Cricetulus griseus: one gene and its partners. The protein of the gene in region 7 interacts with the protein of the main gene of each other region in a biochemical or structural test. Links are inferred from orthologs where the notes say so. Each region holds a gene or a part of one and is shown on either strand. Other genes may lie near its edges.

What was found.
Region 1: the proteins of Cask (region 7) and Sdc2 form a complex in vitro, tested with the Homo sapiens proteins (2 studies listed by BioGRID and IntAct, with this or other methods). The link is inferred for Cricetulus griseus from reciprocal best matches to the Homo sapiens genes CASK and SDC2.
Region 2: the proteins of Cask (region 7) and Atp2b4 form a complex in vitro, tested with the Homo sapiens proteins (2 studies listed by BioGRID and IntAct, with this or other methods). The link is inferred for Cricetulus griseus from reciprocal best matches to the Homo sapiens genes CASK and ATP2B4.
Region 3: the proteins of Cask (region 7) and Cntnap2 form a complex in vitro, tested with the Homo sapiens proteins (2 studies listed by BioGRID and IntAct, with this or other methods). The link is inferred for Cricetulus griseus from reciprocal best matches to the Homo sapiens genes CASK and CNTNAP2.
Region 4: the proteins of Cask (region 7) and Caskin1 interact in a biophysical measurement, tested with the Homo sapiens proteins (2 studies listed by IntAct, with this or other methods). The link is inferred for Cricetulus griseus from reciprocal best matches to the Homo sapiens genes CASK and CASKIN1.
Region 5: the proteins of Cask (region 7) and F11r form a complex in vitro, tested with the Homo sapiens proteins (2 studies listed by BioGRID and IntAct, with this or other methods). The link is inferred for Cricetulus griseus from reciprocal best matches to the Homo sapiens genes CASK and F11R.
Region 6: the proteins of Cask (region 7) and Cftr interact in a test that uses a peptide from one of them, tested with the Homo sapiens proteins (2 studies listed by IntAct, with this or other methods). The link is inferred for Cricetulus griseus from reciprocal best matches to the Homo sapiens genes CASK and CFTR.

Annotation. Positions count from the first base shown.
Region 1 is NC_048603.1:17,529,138-17,533,069, forward strand, and holds part of Sdc2 (syndecan-2), read right to left. Parts: intron 532-3,932; coding exon 398-531; intron 1-397. UniProt on the Homo sapiens protein: Cell surface proteoglycan which regulates dendritic arbor morphogenesis.
Region 2 is NC_048598.1:55,393,808-55,398,167, reverse strand, and holds the start of Atp2b4 (plasma membrane calcium-transporting ATPase 4), read right to left. Parts: upstream 3,132-4,360; 5' UTR 2,756-3,131; intron 1-2,755. UniProt on the Homo sapiens protein: Calcium/calmodulin-regulated and magnesium-dependent enzyme that catalyzes the hydrolysis of ATP coupled with the transport of calcium out of the cell. By regulating sperm cell calcium homeostasis, may play a role in sperm motility.
Region 3 is NW_023276806.1:223,807,685-223,811,616, reverse strand, and holds part of Cntnap2 (contactin-associated protein-like 2), read left to right. Parts: intron 1-2,147; coding exon 2,148-2,412; intron 2,413-3,932. UniProt on the Homo sapiens protein: Required for gap junction formation. Required, with CNTNAP1, for radial and longitudinal organization of myelinated axons.
Region 4 is NC_048600.1:44,087,518-44,091,449, reverse strand, and holds part of Caskin1 (caskin-1), read right to left. Parts: intron 2,849-3,932; coding exon 2,710-2,848; intron 2,630-2,709; coding exon 626-2,629; intron 147-625; coding exon 1-146.
Region 5 is NC_048598.1:21,463,265-21,467,993, reverse strand, and holds the start of F11r (junctional adhesion molecule A), read left to right. Parts: upstream 1-1,594; coding exon 1,595-1,655; intron 1,656-4,729. UniProt on the Homo sapiens protein: Seems to play a role in epithelial tight junction formation. Appears early in primordial forms of cell junctions and recruits PARD3.
Region 6 is NW_023276806.1:208,423,362-208,428,067, forward strand, and holds the start of Cftr (cystic fibrosis transmembrane conductance regulator), read right to left. Parts: upstream 2,887-4,706; coding exon 2,544-2,886; intron 2,449-2,543; coding exon 2,340-2,448; intron 1-2,339. UniProt on the Homo sapiens protein: Epithelial ion channel that plays an important role in the regulation of epithelial ion and water transport and fluid homeostasis. Mediates the transport of chloride ions across the cell membrane.
Region 7 is NC_048604.1:119,094,510-119,098,441, forward strand, and holds part of Cask (peripheral plasma membrane protein CASK), read right to left. Parts: intron 1,665-3,932; coding exon 1,462-1,664; intron 1-1,461. UniProt on the Homo sapiens protein: Multidomain scaffolding Mg(2+)-independent protein kinase that catalyzes the phosphotransfer from ATP to proteins such as NRXN1, and plays a role in synaptic transmembrane protein anchoring and ion channel trafficking.

The DNA of each region.
Region 1 (3,932 bases), on a different chromosome or scaffold from region 7:
GGTGGTGGACCTAGACACTCACTGAGACCTTAAGATAGGACCTGGAGCCTGAGTTCCTTACCCTGTTCCTGTAGAACTAAAGTTCACCATGTTTTTTGACACAAGGGAAAAAAAATCTGACTTAAGCTAAATTAGAGTTTGCTTCATAACTGGGCAAAAGAAGCTCCACAAGAGAGAGTGTCATGTTAAAAACAGTATATTCATAAGGAAGTTAGGCCTACATGATAAGAATAGTAAGCAGGTCAACCGTAAGATGTTGCTAAAAAGCAAAGAGCCATTTACAGCAATAGAATGGAAGGGCTGTTTGCCCCTACATAATTTCAAGCGGACTATTCTGTGAAGTCAAAAGAAAGCAATATTCACAAGTACATGCTAACGCAACGCCAAGCAAGTGCACCTTGGTCTGAGCAGGCGTAATGCTCTGTGTCTTCAGTGTCATGGTTTCCACTTTGGGAACAGCACTAGTGAACGAGATCTTTGGAACTGGTCGGGATGTTGTCAGCTCTGGACTCTCTACGTCTTCATCAGCTCCTAGGAAAAAAGTGAAGATGAACTGAGCATGTGACTCACGACACATACATGTACATTATTAGGCCACGCAAGGCCAGAGCTGACTTTTTAATATTACTAGCTGTCTCCTTTAGCTTCAGAACATGTATACCTGTGCAGAAATAGCAGAATACATCTGAAATATATAGTATTTGGCATTTTTTAAAAAGGCCCATGCCTTTAATCCTAGCACTCAGGAGGCAGAGGCAGGCAGATCTCTGAGTTCAAGGCCAGCCTGGTCTACAGAGTGAGTTCCAGGACAGATTCCAAAGCTACAGAGAAACCATGTCTCAAAAAGGCCCCAGTCAACCCATTTCTGGATCTGGGAATTTACTACACCGAGTCCAGAATCTTCAAGGTGAAGTTGATAATTTTTCTCTCGAATGTGCACACAGAGTAACGTGTCACTGAACAATGGGGTTGCTGAGCAATGGTGTTGATTTCATTGTGGAAACATCACCGCGTCTGTGCTTTAACCAAGAGAAAAGGTTCAGTACACACTAGCTGCATGTGTAAATATATAATATCCCTGACACAGAAACACATCAAGCATGAGAAGGCTGGGATGTGGTCCAGTGGATTTAGCTGTAAGATCCTAGATTTGATTACTGGCAGATCCAAAAGGAACCAAGAAAAGAGAAAACAGTGTAATTAAGAGATTTGGTGAGTGTGAATATAGATGACCGCTGTTTGTGCAACCACAGACTGTTTTTATAATATACTTTAAAAAAAAACTTTTTTCTCTTTTTTTTTATTCAAATTAGAAACAGGCTTGTTTTACATGTCAATCTCAGTTCCCTCTCCCTCCCCTTCTCCCCGCCCCCTCACCAACCCCCCCATCCCCATCCCTTTCTGTTCCCCAGAGAGTGAGGGTGAGGCCTTCCATGGGGATCCCCAAAGTCTGTCACATCATTTGGAGCAGGGCCTAGACCCTCCCCAGGGTGTCTAGGCTGAGAGAGCATCCCTCTGTGTGGAGAGGGCTCCCAAAGTTCATCTGTGTACCAGGGGTAAACACTGATCCACCACCAGTGGCCCCATAGATTGTCCAGACCTCCAAACTGACCTCCTCCTTCAGGGAGTGTAATATACATTTTTATAAATAGGAGTACACTGTGAACTCATGATTACGGATATACTACAGTAAATACAAACTTGCTGTTTATTACCAAGGATTACTATAGCCAAGTAGATTGCTGCACTTGTATATGACTGGCATGTTTGTGTACACTCATGTCACCATGAACATGAGTAATGGGCTGAACTATAACATTATTATTTATATGGTGTCATCAGTTGATAGGAATTTTTCAGTTCCTGATATAACACTGGGGGATTATCATTGTATATTCAGTCTATCACTAGCCAAAATGTCATTATGGGGTGTGTGAAAATGTATCATTCACAGGTGTGATATATGCTTAGAGGCAAACTGTATGTGCAAAATATTATGAGTCATTAATAATGACGGCTCCAAAAATACATGGCACTTTCATACTGGCCTACCTAATTATCCATCCAAGTTTGACATTTGTTACTTGATTTGTTACTACAATGAGTCATTTTATTTTCAATGAATCATTTTCTTAATAAGAACAAAATCTCAATGAAGAATAATAAGTTTCAATTAAGGGCTTTCAAGACCCCACCCCATGTTCCAAAATGATTCTAAACATGAATCACCCAATTAGGAGTGGGGAGAAACTGAGGGGAAGAGATGTGTCAAGGAGAAGATGCCCTCAAGTGAGCACTTTAGAAGTTGGAGAAAGACGCAGATCCATTCCAGCCTCTGCTTATATTATCATAAATGAGACGACTGACTGTCTTGTACATCAGAAACCACAGTATTTCCTGCCATAACCTCTCTTCAGGCTCTGACCTTCCTGCCAGTCTCAGCCTCAAACAGCCTACACCGAGGCCCATCTACACTTCTCTTCACACACTATCATGCCAGCATCAGTGGCACCCTTCTCTGTTGTCTTTCCATCATGGAGCTGTTTCTAAGCTCCTAATACCCCTCTCCCGTGTGTGTGTGTGTGTGTGCGTGCGTGCGTGCGTGCGTGCGTGCGTGCGTGTGTGTGTGTGTGTGTGTGTGTGTGTGTGTGTGTGTAATAACAATGATTTCTACTTATGCTATACCCCGTATCCCAAGTTCACAGGTGGAAACATTGTCTCCAACACAATACTATTAAGAGGAAGGGACTTTAAGGAAGGGATTGAGTAATTATCACCTTATAAAAGAGGCCAGTGGGAAGTTGTTTGCTTATTCTATAAAAAATGCAGCAAGAAGGTATCGCTTTGAAGCAGAAAGCAAACACTAACACCTACCACATCTTCGGGTGCCTTTATCTTTGACTTCGTAGCCTACACAGCTGTGACCAACACATTTAACATATTTATGCTGTTTTTTTTTTTTTTAAGTTACCCACTGTGAAGCATTTTGTTACAGTACCCCAATGGACCAAGATGCTTTAAGACACGTCTTACAAATAAAATATTTTCATGGATGAAATGTGGAAACAGATAGATAAAGGGATAATGAATGGGAAGGGCCTCCCTAACACAGAAAACACTGTTATTTGTTTTTTCACTGAAATGTTTCTAGAATGAATGGTGTCTGTTCTCACATTAAGTGGGTAGTTAATAATGCCTGTTGGATGAATAACTATCTTCTGCAACTTCATTTTATAACAGTTTTTTCATTTCTAACAATGGAGTTCCACTTTCATGAACGTTTCTGTTTTATGGTATCCTAACACTGTTTCACCGCCAAACCCTCTTTTGCCTCTTGGAATTAGTTCTTCTGTTCATCTTCCTTCTGTGAACTCCTGTCCTCTCCTGATTTCGAGGCTTTCAGGTCATATCCAGCTCAAATGCTCTGGGTTTTGTGTCTAGAATTCATGGTGTCGTTACCAATAGAGACTTACCTTAAACTTCCAGGAACAACCAACAGCAATAGCCTATATTGTTTTGGAAGTCTCTGAGACTCCGCTGAACAGTACCATGCTTTACTTTCAATAATCAAGCCTGTGGTTCTAATCTGGGGTCAGAGTATGTCTCTTTGTTTATGATGGAGGGAAGGGTCTACTTGCTTCTTAAAGGGATTTTCAACTATTCACCCTGAGGCTAACACCACTCCCACCTTCCATTTATGTCATCATTTCCGGGCATGTGTGGCCTTGTGCTGTGCTGCTGTTTGTGTCTTGGTGCTTCCCAGTGTTGGCCAGTTCAATCTTCTCATGTCTGCTAACACTGGTACCATATGTCCCTGCGATTCTCACCTTTGTGGCTTGTGTCAGAGCTACTGTCATCTCACTTTTCTGGTCAGTTCTTGTCTGATTCTTTCAATATCACTTTATCTTTAACGTGGCAGGGCTTTTTGTTTG
Region 2 (4,360 bases), on a different chromosome or scaffold from region 7:
GATCTTATGGAAAGTGAGTGGGATATAAGGCTGTCCGATATTCCTGCTCCAAGACCTTCATTCACCACACACCTTACTTCTCCCAGCACCAGGCCTTGGGCAGATCCTGACTGTTCTAGTTTGCCCCCTCTCCACTCCCCACACAGTACCCTCAGTTTGATTCTCTTCTGACATCAAAGACTACAGCAATGTGACAAACCTGACTCAGCCACTCCCTCCCACCGTTTCTGTGGTGAGCAGGGTTCCCAGAGCGAGGAGGGGCTATAGACCAGAGGGCAAACTAGGGGCCCCTTCCTGCACCTCCCCATGCAAGTGATTCCCAGGTGCTATTACTCCACCCCTGGGGACTAGCAAGATGGATCTGTGGGTAAGGACTCCTGCCTTGAAGTATCTGATGGCCTGAGTTTGGTCCCCATGAACCCAAATGGTGGAAAGAGAGAATAAATTGTTCCCTGACCTCCAGATGTGGTCCCCAATAAATGTTTTTTTTTTTAATTAAATTGCCCCCTTTCATCTTGGAAGTGTTGACAGAGTGCCTCTATTTGTCCTGGCACTGTGCTAGAAGCTGGGAGTCTCGGGGATGAGGCAAACTAAGTCCCTTCAACTTGACCTTGGAACCAAGGATTCAGGGACACGGAGATGGAAAACAGAAGTGAAGGGGCAGAGGCACCGGCAGGGACCGGAAGGCTAGAAGCCTCTACCACATCTAAGTCCGTTCTCCTCTGAGTACTCAGACTAGGGCAGAGCCATGCCAGAGGGTGGAGCCGGGCTGCTGAGAGGCTGACAATAGGGCAGGTCACAGACGCTGCTAGACGGGAGGGATCCAGCTTCTGCTGCAGTATTCCCAACCCTGCAGTTCTCACGGCTCGGAGAGGTGGGGGTACAGCTGGGCTGAAAAGCGGTCTCCCCAGCTGCCCAAGACCCAGGACACATGGCCATTAGAACAGGCACCCTAGTGCGCGCTAAGCAGACACCTCAGGCAGCAGCCATCCTTATCCACCAGAATTGGTCCCTCCCCCGGGATTCCCGCCTCCCCTTCCGATAGAAGAAGGGCACCAATTCTTGTTGGGATCAGACCACAGGTGGGGTAGAGTGGCCAAAGGGTCTGATCCATTACCAAACACCTGCAAATGAAAGCTCGCTCTGGTGGCTTCCCTGGCTACCTTTTAACCTCTCCTTCTATTTCTTCCTCAGGTTCTCAGCAAGGCTTTTCTCATAGCCCACATTATAGGGTCCTCCTGTTTTGAAATTCTTCTCTCCCCTAGGCCCCTTGCCATGCTGGTCCCAGCCCGAAATAACCCTGGTCTCCTCCCTTCCAGATAAGGAGATCCCAGACCAGGGGGGTGCTATAGGAAAGGGTCTCTTAAGTGGGAAGAGCCAGGAACAAGGGGAGTTCATGTGGGTGGGTGGGGGTGTCAAGCATGGAAGGAGTGAATCTGAAGACTCCCTGCCACACACCCCAACTGGAGGAAAAGATGGCCTGCAGAACGGGAATTCGTTTTCCCTCCCTCCCCACTTCTCTTTCCTTCTCAGCGTCACAGCAGCCGCCTGACTTCTTCACCTGACACCCGACCAGCCCACCTGGCCAGCATCAGATCCGGAGGGCATTGTGCGTCCTGCAGGAGTACCCTGGAAGAAGATGCCTCCGGCCAGGGCGCGCTCTCCCTGCTCGCAGGATTTGCTGGGCCCCTCCTCCCATCTCCCCACGCGGCTGGAGAGAAGCAAGTAGGCATTCTTCTAGAGGTGGACCAGAGTATAGGCTGGACTCATCTCAAGGAAAGACGCCAGCCGGCCCGCACTACCAAAACAGGGAGAGAGGAGAAAGAGGGAGCAACTCCAGCCTTAGTGTCTATCTCTAAAGCGATCTGTTCAGGGACCCTCTCAAGATGCCAGAGGCCCAAGCCGGCCACCTCACAGCCTGGGGCTTGAAACTGAAAACTTTTCAGTGTGCCCCTTCTCTTTCCTTCCCTATAGAATCAGAGATGCGTGGGGCGGTGCCCTTAGAGACACTCATACAGTTGGTTCTGGACGCTTACGCTCACTCAAACAACAGCAGTGAGAGGGAACTCCCAGCTTTTTCCACAGCTAATTATAGACGTCAAAGTCTGAGGATGTTTTGTAAGCCGCAGAGAGAAACTGCTGAGGTTTCTATGCAAAGCCAAAGAAATTTAATTTGTGCACTCCTGGTTCTCACCCTCCAACTTCTCCTAGCCTATCTCCACCTTATGCGCCCCCCCCCCCCCCGTGAGCTCCCTCCTTGGCGCTAAGGCCTTCCTTCCCGCTGAAGATTTATTTGGTCCTATTTTTCCCATCTCTCTTTGGGGCTTTCGAGAAAGGGAACAGACGCGGAAAATATTTTTTTTCCGCAACAGTTTTCCATTCTGCGGCTGGTTCCCAAGCCGAGGGGGAGGGGGAGAGCAGGAGCGGATGGGGGTCGGCTGGAATAAATACTTGTTCCGAGAGCTTAATTTGGGTGAGAAAAAGGCAGTCCCTCCATTTCCCCACCCATCCCATGATCCAGAGGAAAACGCAAAGGGATCACTTGTTTGATTAGATGGTTCTTCAGAACCCAGGGAAGAATACAGTGTTGAAGACATTCTCATTTTCTCCCCCCACCTCTGTCTCCTATTCCACCACCCCACCCTCCCAGAATTTGCTAGCATGAGGAAATTCGGATACTTTGAGAAGCTATTGAGAGGAAAGAAAGAAACAAAGTTTGCAAATCCCAGAGTCAATTCATTCTCTGCAAACCTACCTCTCTTTCTAGCAAAGATTCAGGTGTCTCCAAGCGGGACTCTCCCTCAGCGTTTCCATGGACCGAGTAGGGTGGGGTGACCACCCACCGCTCTCCCCAGTGTGGCAAACCACCTAGTGATGCTGGCTTTGCTCTCTGGCCACAGCTGGGGGAGTGGACTGAGTCTTCTTCCCCAGCCCTTCCACGCGAAGGACCTTCCTGGAAGAAAATGGGTGCAGGGAGCTGGGCGGGTGTCTGACCTCGCCGTCTTCGGAGGGATGGTCCCCCAGGAAGTTCGTACTCCCACCCCACCCCCAGCCTAGGACGGTCTCAACAGAAGAGCTGTCTTAAGAAAATGCTTGTCATGGCAACAGCTCCAGCCAACTCTGGCCAGACTGGGGCTCCCCAGCTCTCCCCCAGCAGGGCGGGAGGAGAAAGGGGCGGAGCGCGAGCCGGCGGGGGTGGGGTTTGGCGGGAGGCCAAAGCATTGCTCAGCTCTTAAGGTAGCCCGAGAGCAAGGCGCGGCGGAATGATGCTTCTTGGTCCGTCTTAAGGGGGAATGGGGAAGGGTAGGGGGAATCCTCTGCCCTCTTGGCTTTCTCCCAGCGCTGGTTCTTACTTGTTGAAAGGGGAGCAGAGCAGGCGTGGGTGTGGGTGGAGGTGGGAATGGATGTGGGCAGCGGTCTTCAACCGTTGCTGCGTGGAGGGGAAATAAAGGAAGTGTCTGCAAGCCATTCTGTTTCCTGCAGCTCCTCCAGGCCTCTCATTCTCATACTGATTTAGACTCAGGACCACGAAACCTCAGGAGGCTGTGGGCATCTGCCCTACTGACCCAGTCTGAACTGGGAGTTCACTGTCAAAGACGAGGCAATTGCTCAGGGTGCCCACACACATAGGTGCCTCCTCACCCTCAGACCCAGGTCACATCTTGCTCTCTCTTGCTTGTGTACCCAACCAAAGGCATGTCCACAGGGCATAGAATGGCTGCTCGCCTGTGTGTGGCTGAACACCCAAATCTTTGCATCTACAATATCGTTTTTAGCCCTGGTGGCAGTCTCAAAAAGGTACTCATTACTGTCCTGGTTTCATGGTTGAGGAAATTAAAGATTGAGCGACTTGCTCAAGGTTACCCATCTGGTTAATGACAGCCAGGATTCAGGGGCAAGTCAGATCAGACCCATTCCAGAGACTATGTGCTTCCCTATCCCTGTATCATACTATGTCACACATTTCCATCCTAGCGCGTACACACTGAGACATCCGTACACACTTAGACACAGCCTATAAACTGTTAATCACACCCCCGTGCCACACACCCACCAGCATTGTGCAACAGTGCCACCCATAGCTTTTGCATGGAACCTTATGGCTTTCAAGTACAAACATGCACCATCAGCTGGCTCACACAACACATCTTCATTGACGGATACATTCCCACACCTACCTCAGCAGACATACTCACTCATGTTTACATGCTTATGAAAGGCAGGCTAACACAACCTCACAGGTTATAGAGTACTGTATAGGGGAAGAAGGGGATTATTACGGTTCCCCAACCTATTAATAGAGCTTCAAAAATGCTCCAGTACCTAACCAGGCATGGTGAGTATACCTGTAATCCTAGCA
Region 3 (3,932 bases), on a different chromosome or scaffold from region 7:
TGAATAACAACAAATGTCTAGCCTTTTTCGCCCTGTTTGGGATCAGGTCAAAAGTGTAAAACACGATGTTGCCTAACAATGTGTAGATACTTGACATACTCAGAATACACACTGACTTTGAGTCAAGCCAGTCTTTGTTCCCAGTGGTTTTAAACTGTCCATATGAGATTTATAAAAAAGAGGACAGGATGACAGGGGAGGAGGGAGACTGGAGAGGGTGGAAGAGTAACCACAATCAATTAGATACATATATGGAAGTGTCAAAGAAGAATAGTGAGGTTATATAAAAGAAGTATCAGAGTAATAGATAAATAATAGGTTCAATAAAACTAATTTTTGTTCTTTGGTGAAATAAAAGGGTGGGCCACAAAAACTCATGTTGAGTTTCTTCTAGATCCCATGGAGACTTGTTTCAGATTTCTTGAAGAAGACCAAATAATGATGATGTTTCAGCAGCCTGAATCTCTATGTACTGTTGGGTAGCCCCAAAGATAATAACTTTTTTTTTCATGGAGCTTCCCTATAGCTCTGCTTACATTTTCAGTCAAATATCATGGCAGGCAGCTTAGTGTGAACATGGTTCTGAAGCATTATCAGAGAGCTACAGGCAGAAGGAAAGAGAGACCCTGAGCCTGGCATGGGCTTTTGAAACTTCAAAGCCCATTCCCAGTGACACACTTCCCCTGACAAGGCCACGCCTATCTTTCTAATCCTTTCCAACAATCAGTCTTTGGTGACTAACCATTCAATGATATGAGCCTATGGGGCCATTATTCAAACCACCACACACTATGCATAAATGCTGACCAATATGTGCAATGTAATGTTTATACAAGCATTTATATACCCCACATGCTATTCACACAAATAAACACATAGACCACATAGTAGCACACACATACCATGTATTATTCACACATACATACGTCACATACAATAATTCATAAAGACATGCACATAATATATACATATATGAGCATGCATTAACATAGCAATTATTACATACAAGCACCTATACTCCATATTCCATGCACAAAACAATATTCCACATGCTTATATGCAACATACTATAGTTATATACAAACACACAAACATATATCCCACAAATATTCACTCACATTAACAAACACAGTCCATCTATTATGTGCTCAGACAAACACAGACACACAGACACACACAGACACACACAGACACACACACACACACACACACACACACACACACACACACACACACACACACTTTTTAAGCTTTGGTTATAACATCACAGTGGTCCTTTCATTGTTCTCAGAAATTGGTGCTTTAGAAAAAAGGTGTAGAATGCAAAGCATCCAAATTATATTCCTATTATTTGTATTTTAAAAAGTAAAATGTTAGTTCAATATTGGCCCCAGATATATCTATTTGGTACTCAAAACACAGAGCACCAAATAGGAGGGGCTCATTACTAAGGCAATGTTAACTACAAAGCATGTTGAAACTAGAAAGGACTTTGAATAGCTGAACTATTTTATAAAGTATAAGGCATCTACAAATATATCCTGTTTTAACACATTATTTGTGGGCAACCACAGAATAAATTTTGTATCAAAATCTGCACACACACTGAAAACATTAAGAAAAATCATGAAACAGAACATTTTGCCACCATCCCTACAAAGTTAACATTTTATAAGAAATTTGCTCAGGACCTTATTAGTTGTTGTTTCAGTGAAATTCACTCAGCTCCCTAGAGACTCCCTTCCTTCTCATACCCACACCCTGCATATATATTATATAATACTATACATACATGTACACATACATGTATATATAATTGGAGGGGAGACACAGGGATAATAATGTCATCAAGATCCTTAAAATATGATGATAAGATGAAAACAGAAGACCATCCTGTGGTCTCCCCATCATAGCAGGCTAAGAAACTGTCAGCCTCTTTACTGGCATTGCTTGCTACACTTTGAACTAGATGTCCATCTATTTCGTATTGGGTCTAATACTCCAGGAAGTTCCATCAGGATCCATGCACCCACAAAATAAGGCTGGGATGCTAGCCGTCATGTTTGGTAAAACCTCCATCACTCCCTGGATATTTGTAGAACCACCTCTTTGTCAGTAGCCTCACATAGATGCTTGTTTGTTTGTAGGGGAATCTGAGTTTCTCTTGCGTGGAGCCCTACACAGTACCAGTCTTCTTCAATGCTACAAGCTACCTGGAGGTGCCTGGCAGACCGAATCAGGACCTGTTCTCAGTCAGTTTCCATTTCAGGACTTGGAACCCCAGTGGTCTCCTGCTATTCAGTCACTTTGCAGAGAACTTAGGCAACGTGGAGATTGACCTTGTGGAGAGCAAAGTGGGCGTCCACATCAACACCACACAGACCAAGACAAGCCAAATTGACATCTCCTCAGGTCAGTGATATTGGCTTGACATTTGCTTCTGAGACTGCTATTGAAAGTTCCATAGCTGAGGCTATTTGCACCCCCTTCTCCTCTCTCTCTGGTTCACTCTATTTTTTATTGGCACTACAGGCTAATAAATATATTTTGGAATTTTAAAAACTTTTCATTAATTGCACGATATTCTGCTTAAGAGAAATTCAGACTTTAGGGTGTGGGCAAGGAAGAAAGTTGATTGACTTTGAATACACCATGTGAATATTCTAATCATTTTAGATGCAATATGATATATAGTAGAAAAATATTATTCCTCAGCAAGCACAGTTTATATGTAAAACTCAAATAATGTTTGTAGTGACATGACGGTGTTTGGTGTATTTTGACTTCAAAAGCATTCAAATAGCTTTGCTAGTTATAATATTATACTAATTTAATTATCAGGTTAAAGTAATGGTTAATTGCCTCAATCAAAACTCCAAAGTGTCACTCCTAGACCTTTGCCAGTTGTTAGGAAAAAGTAAGCCAGAGGTAAATACAAAACAGAATAGCAAAGTATATGCGTCAACTGAGGGAAGGTAGGCTTGATTGCATTTATCAGTGTTTTAAATGGACATTGTTATGATGTCATAAGATGAAGCTTAGGGTAAACTATAAATCAAGACTTAAGAGTCCTGGAATATCCTTGGATTTATATGGTATTAGAAAAGATGACATTGCAAAGTGAGATGTTATTAACCAAGGAAAAATAGGATACAAGTTGGAATAATGATAAATTACATTTTTAAAAAGTTTCTGTAGTTACTCCTTGAATTAGGAACATCAGTTACATGATACCGTGGTATACAAAACATCAACCAAAAATAGAGTTAGATGACTTTGTCTTAGCTAATGATTTTACGGTACACCCCGAGATGGCAACAGGTGCATGAATCAGATGGCTACATTGCATTTGGGGCACAGAGAAAACAGTGACATTTAACTTGCAAATAATAATTCCGATAATAGGTTGGAGACAAGAAAGTAGCATTTACTGAGCACTTAGTACAGATAAGCCAATTACAAGGCAAGGAGGTCATGACAGATAAACCAGGTGTGCAAATCCCTCTGCATTTTGGAACAGGAAATGATCATTCTGTAAGTATTTCCAAATACCTGACACCCTTTCTAGCACACTTAATTGCTCCATTCATCTCTCCTGTCTTCATGCCTGCTCTAGGCTTCAAGCTTCTACGGGGTTGAAGCCATACATAGTCTTCCTGTACCTTCAGCCTTCATATCTTCCAGAAGGGATGTTCCAGGGACAGTTCTGAAGTTCAGGACTTACTCCTTGAACTAGCTCTTAGTCAGATACTCTGCTAAAGGAGCCTATCTCCTCATACAATGGGCTCTGTGCATCTGTAATGTCAACCTCTATGGACGTCACCTGTTGACCTGATAACTGTTCTGAAGGGTTGCTTGTGGATTGTCTAAATGCCAAGACACCCCTGACTGTATTCTAATTTTATATTATTTTTTTTTATTTTTTCTGCATG
Region 4 (3,932 bases), on a different chromosome or scaffold from region 7:
CGGCTGGCGTGCCGGCGAGGGCACAGGCGAGGTGGTGGCGCTGCTGGACTGTAGTCCCGCCACAGCCTTAGCTGGCTTGGGTGCTGTGGGTGGCGGCGGAGGCTTGGGTGACACAGGCGGTGGCGTGCCATGAGCGCGCTTTACTTCTGCAGGGTAGAGAACAACCCATAGAATAAAAACAGCGTTCCCTCCATCTAGCAGGAGAGATGCTGTACTCGGCCCTATTCTCACCACAGCCGCTAGGGTATGCAATTCCCTAGCACGTCATGCTCCCTAAACTCCTTCAGATATGGCCTGATGTATCCAGCCACAATGGTTCTCTCAGCACCTTGGCACTGCTGTCCTCTCTGGACAGCTACCCTCTCTGTGTCAGGGAACTCCAGCTAGGTCTCCCTGCATCTGCGCCACTACTCTGGGTCTTCTGCACTGGACAAGAGGCATGTCCACTATAGGGTGGCAGAGTCGTCTCACAGAGGATAGATAGGGAGATCTGTAGACAGTCTTATCCCACACTACCTGGGCTTCATCAAACCCAGAAAGGGAAATCACACTATAAGACAGGGTAGCAGGCAAGGGATCTGTCCCGAGATCCTGTGTTCTTTCTTAGCTGGCTCTTTGTACCTACCTGGGCTGCCAGGGCCTGGCAGTGGCACCTTCTTGGAGGCAGGTGTAGGTGAGCCCTGGATCTTAGTCACAGGCTGAGCCAGAATGGGCTTGGGAGAGACAGGTGGCTTCACAGGCTTCCGGGCATTGCCATCAGGCAGGGGCAGTGGAGGCAGCTGCATGAGGTCAGCAGGTGGGGGCTCAGCGGGTGGAGGAGGAGGGGGCAGCTCTGGGGGCCCAGCCTGCTCTGAGGCTGGCCGTCGGCGAACCGTGGCTGTGCCATTCTGATACACAGACAGTGGTGGGTGTGGCTCAGGCCCAGTGTCACGATCTTTAGCCTTTGGCCTGCGCTTGACTGTGTCAGATTCCGTCAGGATGAACTTGACATTCTCCTGCTGGCTCTGTTTGGCCCGGATGCGCCTCTTGAGTGTGGCACTGGCCTCTACCCGGGCAAGGGGAGGGCCCTCCACAGCTGCCTCCCCCTTGGCTGGACCTCGAGGCCGTTGTCGGGCTGTGCTGTCCTCCATAAAATGACTCTGCTCAGCTGGTTCCCCAGGTCCCCGGCGAGCAGTGGCCAAAAGCCCCGTGACTGGGCCACTGAGTGTGCGGCGCCGGTTCACCACTTCCCCATCGGGCCCAATGGCCTCTTTGTGCTTCACAGAGGCCAACACAGTAGCTACCCGACCCGGTTCTGGACTGGCAGGCCGAGGGGTGGGGTGACCTTCAGGGGGCCTGCGGATAGCACGCCCCCCGCCCCCAATGGAAGACAGCTCCAACATGGCTGCAATGCTCTTCACGCTGCCAGCACTGCCTGTGTCCACACTGCCGGTCAGATCACTAGCCCGCCGGCGCTGTGCCCGGACCCCCAGCCGGCCATCCTCTGTCTCAGCATCTGGAGTCGGCTCATCAGCTAAGTTGGCACTGGCCATGGCTGAGCTGGAGCGCTTGGGTGGAGGTGGTGGGGGCCCCTTCTTACGTGGCCGCACAGCAAAGGACTGGCTGCGGTTAACATTCTTGTCAGTGCCAGCAGGAGCCCTCACTGAATGGCTCCTACCCACGCGCCGCTGGACTGTGGCATAGGGTCCAGCAGCAGCGGGCACCAGCAGCTCATCCCGCTCCGGCTCGCTGTCAGATGCTGCATAGCGGTTCAGGCTGTGGGCACGTTTCTTGGGTCGCCCAGGCTCCACATCAGCTTCTGGGGGCAGGCATAGTGTGGGGACAGCTGCTGGTACTGGTGGGAGTGCAGGTCCTGGAGCAGCTGGCCCTGCCTCACCCTCAACTGGTTGGGGCAGCACATAGGCAAAGCCACGGTGTGTGGGTGACTGAGGCAGGGAACGGGGCGACATGGGTCGGTCTGTTGGTGGCAGAAGCTGTGGGGTGGGCTTCACCTTGGCTGTGGCTGGACCGTGAGGTCCTCCAAGAGCCTGAGGGGAACCTGGCTGAGCTTTGGTGGGTGTCTGTGGGGGTGTGAAGTGGCTGGCCCCTGATGGAAGGACCTGCCGTGGCTTGCCAGGCACCGGAGGCACACTGGCCCTCTTGACACTGTGGCCATGGCGGCCAGACCGCACCTCCTTGGGTGGTGTGCCAGGGGCTGGTCCCTCATCCAGCAGGTATTCCTGACTTCGTGACATGGGGCTGCCAGGCCCTTGGGGGCCGTCACCCAGCAGCTCCTGAGAGCTGCTCATGTGCCGAGCCCGTCCACCCAGGCTGGACTCCTGTCGCAAGGTGGCCCTCGGAGTGGGTGGCAGGTGGTTGGAGGACTTCTCAGGAGCAGCTGCACCTGCTTCAGCTGGGCCAGACAGGGCAGCCTGCAGCTCACCACTGAGTTCACTGTCCTGGAAGGTGGTCATCTTAGGAGACTGGCAATCTGCTGCAGCAGGCTCAGGTGGGGGTGGTGACTCAATAGCCATCATTTCAAGTGATTGGGGTGCCTTTCGGCGCAGGGGTCCCCCCTCATACTTGGAATATTCTGCCTTTTGCAGCTCCGCCAGTTTCCTCACAGCCAGCATCAGCTTCTTCTGGTGTCCTGAGTTGGGGACGGGGAAGAGGCTGGTCAGGAGGACCTTTGGGTATAGGCAGATATGGAGGGGCAGGCTGGAACCTTACCCAGCTTGGTGATGCCAATCTCCTGAAGATCCTCCCAAGTGATATCAGTGATGAAATCAATGTTCTCATAGCCATTGTCCACCAGCACCTTGTAATACTGAGCCAGACCGATCATGGACAGCCACACAGCCAGGTTAGCCTATAGAGAGGGGGACAGAGAGGGGCAGCCCAAGCTGGCTGCTCACACCATGACCACCTACTTGGAACTATTAGAAGATGAGCCTGTGGGGCACAGACAGACAGAAGGACAAACAGACAGGCCTAAAATGTCAGTATTGCAGACAGTCTAGGCACAGCCTTGGTGGGAACTGAGGCCAGCTCCTGACAACCAAACACTAGGATACGCACAGGTTAACACATGCAAACATACTTGGGATTCCTATCATCTGGACAGTTTCAAGTATAATAAAGTACTTCTTTGCCTAATCAGATGGCCACAGGCATTGTCCTGAGGAGACGCACCCATACACCAGACACAGACACACACACAATGCCACATAAAATACATGTACACACACTGCACACCCTGCATGCTGCTTCCAGCTATACAAAACACAGGCACTCTCTGGATGACCCTCACAATGTTTCCCCACCCACAGCAGATGCATGATCACGCACATGTTACACATTCACCACACAGCCATACCAGGAATGTGCAAATATGCCGTATCCACCAAGAACTGCCCAATCGTCCCACGCTCCCAGCTGACACCACTCTTGCAGCCGCACTCAGCACCTTCAGTCATGCAGGTGACAGAGTGAGGTGAGGTCCATGAGACCCAGATGTGCTCCTGGGAGGATCCCTGAGCTGCTGACTGAATGGCAGGGTGGGGCAGATGAGTACAGCCCTGCCTGCCAGTAGATCCAGGGCCCTGAGGGGGCAGGCTCTGCATAGCCAGCATCGCCTCTCCCATGGACAGATGGGAGAGCAGAGCTGGTGTGCAACCCAAAGGGTCAGCATCAGCCCAGAAGCCCAAATATAGGCATCTCCTCATATGAGCAAAAGCCACTGTGTGCAGAAGCCACCAGAGGAGGGTTGTCAGCCATCAGCACAGGCCAGCATGTGCAGTGGGACCTGTGTGCATGCATGTGGCAAGCATGTTCGACACCAGCTCATCTGCAATCCACATGAGTGAAAGACAGTGCTATAGAGGTGCTTGCCACGAATAGAGAAGGCATACCCTCCTGACTTCAGGTTCCCCTCACAGCCCCTAGTCTTAGCC
Region 5 (4,729 bases), on a different chromosome or scaffold from region 7:
TTAGAATTTTTTGTTGGTTGGGTTTTTTTTTTTTTTTTAAACAGAACTGCTGTTTTTATTTATTTGCACTTCCCTATCTCACCTAGTAGATGCTTGTAGACATGTTGTTATTGTTGCTATTGTTGGTGGCTTTTTGAGACAAAGTCTTGCTTTGTAGCTCTGGCTGTACTGCAATTTACTATGTAGATCAGGCTGGCCTTTCACTCAACAGAGCTATCCACCTGCCTCTGCCTCCCTACTGCCAGGAATAAAAGCAGGTGCCACAAAGCCCAGCCCAGCAGGCACTCTTTACTGCTAAGCAATCTCTCCAGCCTGGTTTTTATTTTTGAAATGGGGTCTCTTTTAACTCTGGCTATTGTCAGACTTGCTACCTTGTCAAGGATATCCTTAAACTCTAATTCTCCCGCCTCTGTCTTTAACAAGTGCTGGATTTCAGGCAGAGACACTACGGGTTTGATTTTATCTCCTTCCCTCTGCCATCTTCTCCTCCTGTTTTTCCTTCTCGTCCTCCTCTTCTTCTAATTTTCATACAGGGTCTCCTGAAGCCCAGGCTGCCTACAACTCTCTAGGTACCTAAGACTGGCCTTGAACCCCCAATATTCCTGTATCTACCTCTTGGATGCTGGAATTACAGGCATGTGCTTTGGTGTGGGACAGCCCATTTTATAGGAAGATCCACAGTTTGAAGCCAGCCTCAGGTATGGAAGCCAGCCTTGGTCTAAGAAAACAAAAGCCAAGCAGAATGTAAGGCCCAGCAAAGGAGCTACTGACACATGGTATCCGTATAAAAGACATAACTCTAGTCATCCAGGGAACTGTGGGTCAGCTTTAAAATCTGAATGTTTTCTGTATCTCTATTAGGTTTCTTTTGGGAAGAATGTAACCAGGAGGACAATACTCTCCCAAACCTCTCCCCATACCTTCCCATATTAATGTGTTTTTCACTTACCAAGGGGCGGGGGTGGGGGGAGGGATTATGCAGCATTAAGCAACTTAAAAGTAAAGGGGGGGAGGCAGAGGCAGGTGGATCTCTGTGAGTTCAAGACCAGCCTGGTCTACAAGAGCTAGTTCCAGGACAGCCTCCAAAAGCCACAGAGAAACCCTGTCTTGAAGAAAAAAAAAAAAAAAAAAGTAAAGGGGGAAAAATCGACCAAGCAAATTCCTGCATTTTAGAGTCCTGTGACATTCCCCACCTCCTCCTTAGAGATAACTATCAAGAGCCCCGGGCCAGTCAGAAAGGCTCTAGCTGCAAACCCTGCTGCCAATCGGGATGCCCTTTACCTGTTGAGAAGGAGGCTTTGGCTTCCTTAAGCGACTGTCTTCTGGGCCAACCAGAGGTCTCTAGGAAAGAATGGCACCAATCGCCCTCAAGAGGGAGGAAAGTTCGGGCTGCACCTGCGTACGGTGAGTCAGTCGTCGGAGCTCCCTCTCTCTTCACCAATCAGAACTTGGGACAGCCGGGCGCCGCCCACCAGGCGTGGAGAGAAAGGCGGGCAGGGCTCAACCTGGCGGCTGGAGTCCAGTCCCAGCGCGTTGGATCGCGAAGCTCTTCCCAGCCCAGTGGCTCGCCCGTCGCGTGGGAATTGTAACTGTAATGGGCACCGAGGGGAAAGCCGGGAGGAAACTGTTGTTTCTCTTCACTTCCATGGTCCTTGGTGAGTTCTCGGAGTTTTTGGAGGATTTGGTGGGTCGGGTCAGAGGTTGGCGAAGGCGCACCCCACGCGCCAACGGGAAGGGAGGAGTCCAGAAACCTGCTTGCTCGCTTGCCTCGCCCTAGGAGTCCACTTTTACGCCCCGATCTGGTCACTCTACTTTCCCCTCCCCCACCTGGAGACTGCCTGGCTCCCCTCCCCCAAGCCGGTGATCTGTGACCCCACCTCCTACACTGTGGCGGGGAGCCTTAAAAATAACTGAGAGGGTCCACGGTTCTGCGTCTTCCCTTGAAGCCCAAGGACCCCTTCCACACCCAAGTCTTAAGCTACCCATTCCCCTCCATATGCACCTGAGAGGTCGTTCTCCCCTCCGACATCTCCGGGGACCCAGAGCCTCTCACCCGCACTCTCTTGGCTCAAGTGTCCTTGGAGGAAATGTAATGGAGGTGGGGGTAGGGAATGTTTCCTTTCCTGGCTTTTGCAGAAGGGGTCTCTAGCTCTTGTTACATTGTGGACCTTTTGGGATTAATGCCGGGGTTCAGCGTCTGAAGAAGAAATGAAATCTCTAAAAAATTTCTCAAATCATAGCATTGAGAATTCCTTTCTTGAATAAATAGCGAGGAGTCCTTTAATTAAGGTTGTTGACTGAGTGACGATTCCCTGGGGGAGACTGGGACTATTGGTTGGCTGGATCTCCTCAGAGCCAGAACTCTGCCCTCCCTCTTGCCCGGAATGAGTTTTTTTTGTTTCTTTGTAGACTCCCTTTCCTGAGAAACAACCAGGCTCGCATGCTGGGGCATGACTCTCTCGAGGTGTGTTTGTATGAGGCCGAGAGTGAGGTTGGTTGGTTTGTGCCTTGGTCATTGTGTGTCAGCACCTGTATATTTATCTGTCTGATTTTCCCCGCCACCACCCTTCAGAGCCGAGGACCAAAACCAGGGACTTGGGTGTACTATGTCTGGTTCTTGAGTGGCATACACAACTATTGGGTAGTTTTGTTGGACCGTGTTCTCTATGAATCTGTTTCAAGGGTAAAGGAGATGAAATATTACAGTATTGGTGTATTCTAAAGGCAGTTCGTTTTGGTGAATTTTGGGAAAAGCACCCAAGGTGGATAGATCATGCCTTTGTGTCGTTACAGAACTAAAAACTCTTGGGGTGGACTAGACAATAGGTGATCCCACTCCTCTCCATTGTACAGATAAGGAAATGAGTCTTGAGAGAGGAAATGACTTTTCCAGTTTACAAGGGGGTAGAAGCTGGGGATGGAACGAGTCCTCTGACTCCTGGAGATCCAGCCTCTCAGGCATGAGGCAGGCCCAAGAACTATATGAGCTACTGCTGTCTTATTTAAAAAAAGATCCTTCCATGGGTCTTCCTCTCTCACGTTTTCCTTCTACTTGTCCACGTCTGCATTCCTCCTCTTCCTTCCTTTGCCCAGCCATCACTTATTTCATTTTCGTTCATATCTTAGAAATGTTAGCCACGCCCATATTCCTGTTTTGTATACAGTTTCTTCTGGATCAGTGACAGCAGTTGTTAGGCTTATAACTTCCTGGAGTTGCTTCCTTCTAACCCCTTCCTTTTCTTTTCCCCTAATTTCCTGCATTGGTTCTACGGCATACTACTTCTGAATGGGTTGTGACAATGGCATTTTGAGCAAGCACCACTATTCAAGGGAGCCTGGGGTGCTGTTGCATATGCTTGCCCGGGCAGTGGCTCCTAGGGAATAGCGTTGGGGGTGGGGGAGTGGAGGAATGGACCCAGAAACTTTGAAATCATCAAGGTAGACCTGGGGGCGGGGAGTGCCTTGGTTAGTGCAAATGAGGTTAGAAATGGTAGCATGGGCCACCTCAGCAGGCATCCTGGCTTTGCCTTTTTTCTCTGTCTTGTGACCTTAAGCTAGTGGCTCAGTCTCTTCAGCTATAAAACAGGAGTAATAATACTGGTCCTGCATTTGCCTTGGGGATCAATGGAGATAATAGCTACATCACATAGACATGAAGGAATTACTGCTAGAACTATTACCCCTTTGGATTTTGTGAGGGTGCAAGAAGGCTGTCCCTACAAGAGTGGGTCAAAGGGAGCAGGGAAATTCCCATGGTGGGGCTTTATTTTAAAGTAGGAGCTCTCTGGGAGCCATCTGGTCTGAACCATAAACAGATTGCCACTGTCCTGTTCTTTTTTTTTTTTTTAGATTTTTATTTATTTATTATGTATACAACATTCTGCTTCCATGTATATCTGCACACCAGAAGAGGACACCAGATCTTATAATGGATGGTTGTGAGCCACCATGTGGTTGCTGGGAACCGAACTCAGGATCTCTGGAAGAGCAGTTGGTGCTTTTAACCTCTGAGCCATCTCTCCAGTCCTGTCCTGTTCTTCTTGAGTCATTGGTCATCATGGGCTCCGCTGTCAGGAGGGAGAAGAAAGGGCAAGTTAAGTATGAGCTAGGTGAGTGGAAGACAGCTCCAGCCTGAGGTACTTAGTGGGCAGGGATACACAGACATGCTGGGAGAGCTGAGCTTGGGGAATGTGAAATTGGTGAGCCAGAAATTGGTGCATTCCCTTTTCTCTAGAACCTGAACTTGGGGAAAATGGCATGGGCCAACTTTTATTGGATCCAGAAGGGAGGAAAGTAAGCCAGGGTTGGAATGCTGACCTTTGTTCTGCCTCCTCTTACCTGGGTGTAGAGATCCCATACTTCTAAGAGGGGTGGACGACTACCATGGCTTTGGTTAGAGCCCCGATGTTTCTGCTGGTGTTTCTGAAGAAGTTTCTTTTGAATATTTCCAAAGTGCTGTTCAGGGGGCAGACTTCCCTCGAAACTGTGGATCGGTGGATGAGTCATGCCCACTGCTTCCCCCTGGGAAAATAATTATTCTCTTGAAACTAGAAACTAGTTAGTGCCACAGCTAGAAGGAGAAAATGAGCGGTGGCCAGGCTCCAGCAATCTAGGCTGGGCTCTGGAATGTTTTCACCTGTGATATTTCTCTTCTGCTTCTTCGTGATTTGGGCTTGTCCAGGGCCTTCAGCCTAGTTCTGCTTTGGGCAGAGCTGCTGTAATTCCAAAA
Region 6 (4,706 bases), on a different chromosome or scaffold from region 7:
TCATAAATTCTATGCAAATATATCACCACTTGTTTTAAAACAACTTTTTTCATAAATTTATAACATCTTCTAGTTAATGTACTATTTTCCGTGAAAGTCACAAAATACTTGAAATTTTCATGGTAAAATTGTCTTCTGTGTTAGAATACTTCCAATGACTTCCAAACTTTTCCTTCCTGTAAACACTTGCAAAAATATATTTTTATTAAGCTTGTTTTGGTTTTAGTGATATAACCTAGATAATTAAACTGATACTTAATATAATTCATAACCCAGACCCTAATATTGGAAACATGGCCTTCAGGTTTTTTTAGTCTTTTATACCCTAAAACTGATGGGATAGTACTCAGAAACTCAAACTCTAAGGCATCTATGGAGATCTGAGCATATGGATTTCCCCTAAATATCTAGTAAGTCCATATTAGATGAGACTATCCCTTACATTAATTTCTCAAATATATAATACACATACACATCACATAAAAAAAGGTTGATAGTCAAAAATTATAACCAACAGAAATAAACTCATTGTCTTACATAAAATGTAGAAAATAACCATAGCAGCTAGCATTTCCTCAGTAAGCCCAGGACATAACTACTCAGCAGATTAACCCACTATGTCATATGCACATTGACAGCCTCTAAGTTTTAAAAGTCAGGTCACACAGAAATGTGAAAGGACTTGCCCATTAAGCAATCCTGAAACCAGGCAATAGGAACCCAGAGCCCACTGTCCTCGACACTAGGCAGAAATGCCTAGTCCAATGGGAAAAAAAGGGTTTTCATCTTTGAAAAGGATAGTTCAGAAAGAAGTTTCTAATCACTGACTGGTACTGTAGCTGAATGTCAGAGCCTATAAATAGTAAGAACTTAACTCTTAAAAACACACCTATTCTTAAAGCAACTGATTATGAAATCGTTTGAAGGACAGAAATGAGTATGTGCTTAACAAATTTCACAGCCATTATAATATTTTTCCTTTCCAAATCAACCTAAGAGCATTTGGAAGGTACACTAAAATAAATGAGCTGTATAATAAGAGGGGAGATTTTTGAAACACTGATAAATGAACAATCTAAGTTTCTTAATACTTTAGTGGGGAAAATACACAAGAGACATTCTCATGAGAACGTGAGGCACTGACATGTAGGTTCCTCAAAATGATCTCATAAAAGTGTGCAGTTTATGACAATTAACACTCTGTTGCTGTGAGTAGTAGGAAAATAGATCCCGGCTGATAAGCTGAATTTATGGATGAAGTAACAAAAGCACTGTGAATACCAAAGGTAACTCCAAAGGGTAAAGACCTTGTCTCCCATCCACTGGGAGGAGCTCTCCCACAGAGGCACTTGTCCTCTTAGTCCTGAGCTCTAGACCCACCGGCGGCGGCAAAGGCAAGAAGACTGAAAGCTGAGCTTTGCCTCCTGCCCACACCACAGGGCACATTTACAATCTATGCAACACTCTGGTCCTTTAGTTTGCTAAAGTTTAGATTCCCTGAGGAGCTGTGAGTCAAGTGAGCTCCCATGAGAGAGCTGTTCTTTTCGTTCATCCACACTAGAGGAACAGAATAGCCGCGCCATAGAGCATGTCAAATACAAAGTGCTTAATTAGTCTTGCCTAGGTCTCCCAACTTAAAATCTAATTTTAAAATCCTTTTCTATTGAGGTTTTGGCTCATGCTGTGCAATGCAGGATAAGAGAACAATGTCCCAAGTGTCAGTTGGATATAGCTTCAGTAGCTAGAACCCCAGCTTCATATCCCATGGTTACTGCTTTCCTAAATTCTTTGCTTTTGATATTTCTGCTGCTTAAAGATAAATATTTTAACTGACTTGCTCACATTCTTAAAAAGTAATGTAACTATGGTTACATTACTTTTTGGTGAGCATGTCAGACTTAATATTACAATAGCAAAAAGTACTATATACTTCCTCAAAAAAATTCAGTCAGCAAATGTTTTCTGAACACCTACTACATACAGGTATGACACCTGCAGACAAGCTTCCTGGGGAAAAACAATGAACCAACCTTAAGGATTTTTAATTAAGAAAATCTTACAAATTTTTCAGGAAAAAAAATTAAGAAAACTGTTGCCCTGCAAATATTTAGGTGTTGCAAGTCTGATTCTCAGTTGCAAGTACATTTTGTTCTCCATCTAATCAGCTTCAATTTATTCTATAAAATCCACATTTCCTTTAAAACAATGAATGACAACACACCTTTAAAAACAAAACGAAAACAACAAAAAAATCTCTTCCTGTTTTCCCAAAGACTGCCCATATGCATTCCCTTCTTTGGCATGGGCACACCTGCAAAGATCCCCTGGCACCCTCTCACCTGAAAAAGAGTTTGGAGATAAAGCTGGCTTTCTCCAAAGGCGACTTCTGCATGATGTCTCCGTGGTGCACTGAGGTCTGTGTCTGGACACGTTCAGGTTGGACTCGACCTCTGAATATCCAGGACCCAGTCAATGTTTTTAGCGATTCCCCTTTTGTCGGACCTGCGGTGATGTCATTTGCTTCCAATTCCCCCCTAACCAACTGGGTCCCACACGCCTCCCCTTCTCTCTGCCTTCCTCCCCCGCCTCCGTAGCCCAGGTTAAAAGCCAGCACTGCCTAGCCCAGCCCCAGTCCCTGCTCTCCACGCCCCAAGCCCGCCCCGTGCGCTCCTTCCTCCTGCGCGCCTTGCATGCCGCCCGCGCCTCCTTCTCCTGGCGCTCACTCCCCGCGCCCTCCAGCGCCCCCCCCACATCCCTACCTTCTGGCAGCAGCAATATCAGTGACGGCTCAGGCACCAGGTCCGGGGAAACCAAGGCCAATCTGCGGGAGCTAATATGCTTCTTATGTGTGACCAAGGACCACTGACTGACCTCCTTGGCTTCCATGAGCCTTTCTTCTCCCTCTTCCCAGTCTTCTATTTCTCTCTCTCCTCCTTCTTCACTTTCTCCTCCATCTCTTTCTTCTCTTCCTCCTTTATCTCTTTCTTTTTCTTCTCTTTTTCCTTCTTCTCTTCCCCCTCCTCTGCTACCTTCATCTTCTCCTCTTTTTCCTCCTTTTCCTTCTCTCCCTCTTCCTCCTGTCTCTGTAGCTTTTGGCCGAGTTACAGTTAACTTTTCAAGATTCATTTTGAAGAGGAGATGAAAACGTGGCTCCTCGGAATCAAAGTACAGATGCAGAAAGGTGCAAAGTCCCACAGTAGTCCGAGGTGTCCCACCTCAGCAAGCCCTTCAAGAGCTGGACAAGACCTAGCTCTGTTGACTGAAGTCTCTAGGGTAGCCATAGAGTCACAGACATCTATGAGGTACATGAATGTCATAGGCATATGTCACAATTCCTTGATATGTCATAATTACAGCAAAAGCCCTACCAAGGAATGGGGAGCAACTGCTTCCCCTAGGAGGCATGTGTGTCAGACACATGTATCACAATGCCTCCGATGTGCCATAATTATAGACAAAGTCCTTGAGGACAAAGGGAGCTATTGCTTTACCTATTTCCCACTCAGGATGTGTTCAGTGTGTGTTGTAGTGTTTTGTGTTTCTGAAGGCTTTTATGTGTGTGTGCTACAGAAATGACAAGTGGACTGTCTAAACTAAATGACTGTCCTTTAGATTTCCTTGTCTGCTAAGCAAAATATCTGACAGGAACCCAAAGTCACTGAAGCAAAGGTATCCTATTCACCAAGAGCTCACTGAGAGAAATGCCTATGTCTTTAGCTCTCTGGGGGCTTTGAGAGTTTTCCAGGCTATGTGCCTTCCCCTTCCAAGCTTTTGGTGTGAGAATTTTGTGTCCAACATGAAAATGTGGTGGGTTTTAAAGGGCCAACACTTAAATACCTGAACCCTATTTAGCCAAAGCAAGTAAAATAGAGTTTGAATTATTTTTCCTTTTATTAAAAATAGAATTTTCTTTTTAGCCAAGCAGTGGCGGCACTGATCTCTGAGTTCGAGGTCAGCCTGGTCTCAGAGCAAGTTCCAGGACAATCATGGCTCAAGAAACCCAAAACCAAACAAACAAAAACAAAAACAAAACAAAAAAAGACAAGAAAATAGTTTTTTTTTTTTTTTTTTACCCCCAGACATTATATCCTGATTACTGTTTTCCCTCCATCTACTACTCCTACTTTCTCTCCACATGCCCTTCTCTCTGGATCCACTCCATTTCTGTCTCTTATTAGAAAACAACCATGCTTCCAAGGAATAGTAATAAAATATAATAAAACAAAAATTAATACATTGGAATTGGACAAAAACAAACAGAAAAGAACCCAAGAGAAGGAAGGCGCAAGAAACACGCCCAGGGATGCACTAGTCTAAAAGCCATAATTAATCTACATGCAGAGAACCTGGTGAGACCATGCAGGCCCTGTGCAAGCTGCCTCAGTCTCTGTGAGTTCATATGAGTTTTGCTCATGTTGATTTAGAGCACTTTGTTTTCATGGTGTCCTCCTTCCCCTCTGGCTCTTACACTCTTTCTGCCTCCTCTTCTGCAGGGTTTCCTGAGGCCTCAGGGGAGGGATCTGATGGATATCCCATTTAGGGCTGAGTGTTCCAAGGTTAGAGTCTGAGATTTTTAAAGAAACAAAATCAAAAATTAAAATGTTCTGGCCTGATTTTTGCCTCAGCATCTAAACACTGGGAGTGTTTACTTGTGAATTATCTGATTTTTGACTTGTGGACATCCAACTACAACACAAATAAAATAT
Region 7 (3,932 bases):
CGACGTTCAGGTGAAGACCAGTGTGGAACCCAAGGAGAGGATGTCGAAGACCAGGACCAGGATTGAGACTTTGCCTCTAGCCACCCCTGGCCAGAAGATTTTTCCAATCCCTAGTAAGGAGGGATTAGTAGTTAAACAAAGATCAATCTGCGTTACACATCATCATATTTAGTTCTTTATAGGTCCAAGTTAACTGTTACGTAACTACAGTGTTTACCCTATGGTTGTACTCCTCCCTAGCCCCTAACCAAATCCTATTGTGATTTCCAAAGTTTTGAGTTCAAGAACCCCACTTGGTGCTATAATGGAAATGGATGAAGCTGTTGGCCATGGGTTAGACTCTTGGAGCCCAGAAATGGAGCCATCAGGGCCCAGGTCACACAGAATGAAATCTACTGATTTAGGGATATGCTATGAGAACAAGTCTCATGCAGTGACCCCTCAACAGGGCTTTTCCCTGTCTGGGACAGGTACATAAGTCTCCTTCTGCTGAAGCAGAGCCTGCTCAACCAGGGACATTTCTCCGTATCTAGTGTAAGTGATGAAAGATGTGGGATATAGATCCATCTTGGAAAGGGTACATTTGAGTCCTAAGAGTCCCCATCAGCCTGTTCTGCAACTTCCTCTGATGTCTATCAACTCCAAGTCCTTTTCCTCATGCTTTAAGCCCCACTTCTACTTGGCTTATGCTCAGACATGAAAAATTAGCTTGTCAGCATTTCTGTTCTGCTTGTGTATGCTAAGCATGTGCCCACCTTACTGCTGAGCTACAGTGATGTCAATCCCTATATGAAAGTCTTCAACTTTCTCAAGTTCTATTATCACTATTGCTTCCTACAGAACACTTGGTTACAAATCCCGAAACCAATCAACTTTGTATCTAGCTCCTTTTTGAGTCCCCTCCGAGGAAAGGAAATAGCAGAGGCTGAGAGCCACCTGGGCTCTTAATCCCTGCTTCACCTAACCCTGGGTGGAAGCACTCACAACTACTTTCATGAAAGCTATGGCTGTTTCACATCCAGACCTCAGGATCAGTCTCTTACAAATGATCAATGTAAGATATCGGCAGATGCTCTACTGGTCCAGCATGGGCTGTACCAGGAGATCAGAGGGGGGCTGCTATGATAACAAATTGCCAGAGCCTCATCCTGAGGTCGGGGAAGTGTAGGAATTCTGGCAGGCACAGACCCAAATGGGTACTTCACCGAGCTCCTTCCTGAGTATAAGCCGCAGAAGAGAACCATGTGCTTTTCAAATGCATGCTATGTGCGCTGAGTTCAGTGACTGGTCAGTTTGCACCCTAGACTGTTGACCCAGGCGGTCTGGAGAACTGAAATTTTCCTGTGGCTTAGAAAATGGTTTCCGTGACCCAAAACTTTCTGATGACATTTTGGATTTCAGAATCTGAGCTTATCAGCATGCAGGCAAGATGGAGTAGGTTCAGGGTGGCTTGGACATTACCTGAGGCTCCACGTCCAGTATTGCAATCAGCCCCTGCTCGTGGATTTTCCGAATGGTCTCCAGTTTTGTCCCGTACATTGCATCCTCGTGGCTGCCATACTCCAAGTACTCATTATTTGAGATGTCTTGCATCATTTGGTCATGAGATACAAAGTAATAATTCTTGCCATTTTCTTCATCTTTCTTTGGAGGTCTGGTTGTATCTGCAAAATTTCATTCATGAGAGGTTTAAATGGCTAGATTGATGAGTTACACTCCCAATGGAGTTACTGAACTCAATTACTCTGTGTGTGTGTGTGTGTGTGTGTGTGTGTGTGTGTGTGTGTGTGTGTGTGTGTGTGTGTGTGCTGAGACCTAGGCTTCTGTGTATATTAGGCAAGCTCCTCAATTGTTTTTTAAAAGCTGGTTAAACCAGGTATGATAGCACACAGCTGCAATTCCATCACTTGGGAGGTAGCAAACAGGAGGATTACAATTCCAAGGCCAGCTTTGGATACAAGACACCTTGTCTCAAAAGAAAAAAAAAAAGCCGTTGATTCTTTACATTGTCTCATAGCCTCTGTTTCCAATAATGTCACAGAAGCAATTTAAAAACCGTATTTATCTATGTACAGCAGCATATCAGATTTTTCCTTTGGCTTGTTTGTTGTTTGGTGAATATTTTAGTGTTGTGAGATGTATTTCACACTGCCCCAGGAGGAAAGACATGAAGTGGTGGTGATGCTTTTTGAATAAAAAATGGCCCTGATAGAGTCAGGTATTTGAACACTTGGTCCCCCGATGGTTTAAACTCCCACTGTTTAGGGAGTGTGAGCCTTGCTAGAGGAAATACGTCACTTGGGGCAGAATTTGAGATTCATAGCCTTGTCCAATTTCCAGTTTGCTCTCTCTGCTTTGTGTTTGAGGCTGGAAATGTGACCTATCAGCTTCTTGCTCCTGCTGCTATGTCTACCCTGCTATGAGGGACTCTCACCCCCTGGAACTGTAAGCCAAAACAGACTTTTTTTCTGTAAGCTATCACAACAACAGAAAAATAACTAATAGGGTGACCCAAGATGAACATAACTTACTAGCCCTTAGCTTACTTGGGTCCGTGCAGAAGGAAGAAAGGATAAAAGAATGGGTAACTACATGTGTCTATTTACATTTAAACGAATGGTAGTGACATAGTTCAGTTTCTTCATCTCACTAGCCATATTTCAATGACTGAAGAGACAGCGGACTATTCAATTGGACAGTTTAGATACTGAGACTTGTTCTAGATAGTGTTAGTCTATATAACTTCACAATGAGAATGTTTGTTGCATATAGCAAAAGGCACACCATACTGAAAACACAAAGGACTTAAAGGGGTGTGGCTGTGATTATCATAGAAGAACTAAACCAAAAGGCGAGGCAAGGAAGTGGTGAACTGCTTTATAGGTCAAATGGTCCTTCAGAGATTTTTTTTTTGAGACAAGGTTTTACTTTGTACCCTGGCTAGCCTGGTTTTTGGTATGTCACCATGGCTGGACTCAAACCTGTAACTTATCCTGGTTTCTCTGTGTTTCCTGGCTGCCACGAGGTAAGTATCTTTGCTCTGCTATAAGCTCTTGCCATCATGGTATTCCATCTCACCACAGACCCACAGCAATGGAGTAAGCCAGCTACCGACGGACTGACATCTCTGAACTGTGAGCCTACAATCACTTTGTTCCTTTTAAGTTGTTCCCCTCCCTCAGGTATTTGTCACATCAGCAAAAGGCCTACCACAATTGGACACACATACACTATCTCTGTCTTCCTTCCCTGTTGTCCTCCCTAATTGTTCTCTCGTCTCTCTCAACTTCCTCCTTCTGTGTTGCTTCCTTCCTTCCTTGAATAAAGACAAATTTATGCTACTCTGTGCTGAATACATGGGCCCACCAACTCAAAGAGGATGCTTTCTCTAGTTACATTGAAAGCTGAAGTTGGCATACCTAATCTTCAGTTATCTGAGGAAATATTACAGATTACTTCAGGTAATGTACAGTGCATGTAATGCACATCAGGGTCAAGTATTTAAGAGATCAGACATGGTTGATTTTATCAAAGGAAAGCTTTAAAAACTAAGCTACTTAGCTGCACCGTGGTGGCACACACCTTTAATCCCAGCACCTGGGAGACAGAGGCAGGCAGATCTCTGTGAGTTCAAGGCCAGCCTGGTCTACAGAGTGAGTTACAGGACAGGCTCCAAAGCTATACAGAGAAACTGTGTCTCAAAACAAAACAAAACAAAAAACTAACCGGAACCAAACAAAACACAACTAGACACTTAATAACCAGGAAGTTCAACTGCTATGTGATCAAGATGAAACTAAACATTACTCAAATGTAATATAGTCATGATAAAGACACCAGAACTGAACGAACATTTCAAAATGTTTGAGTAGAAAATCACATTAGCACCAATTGCAATACTCAGTAAGCTTTTCTTGTGCTAACCTGTGCAC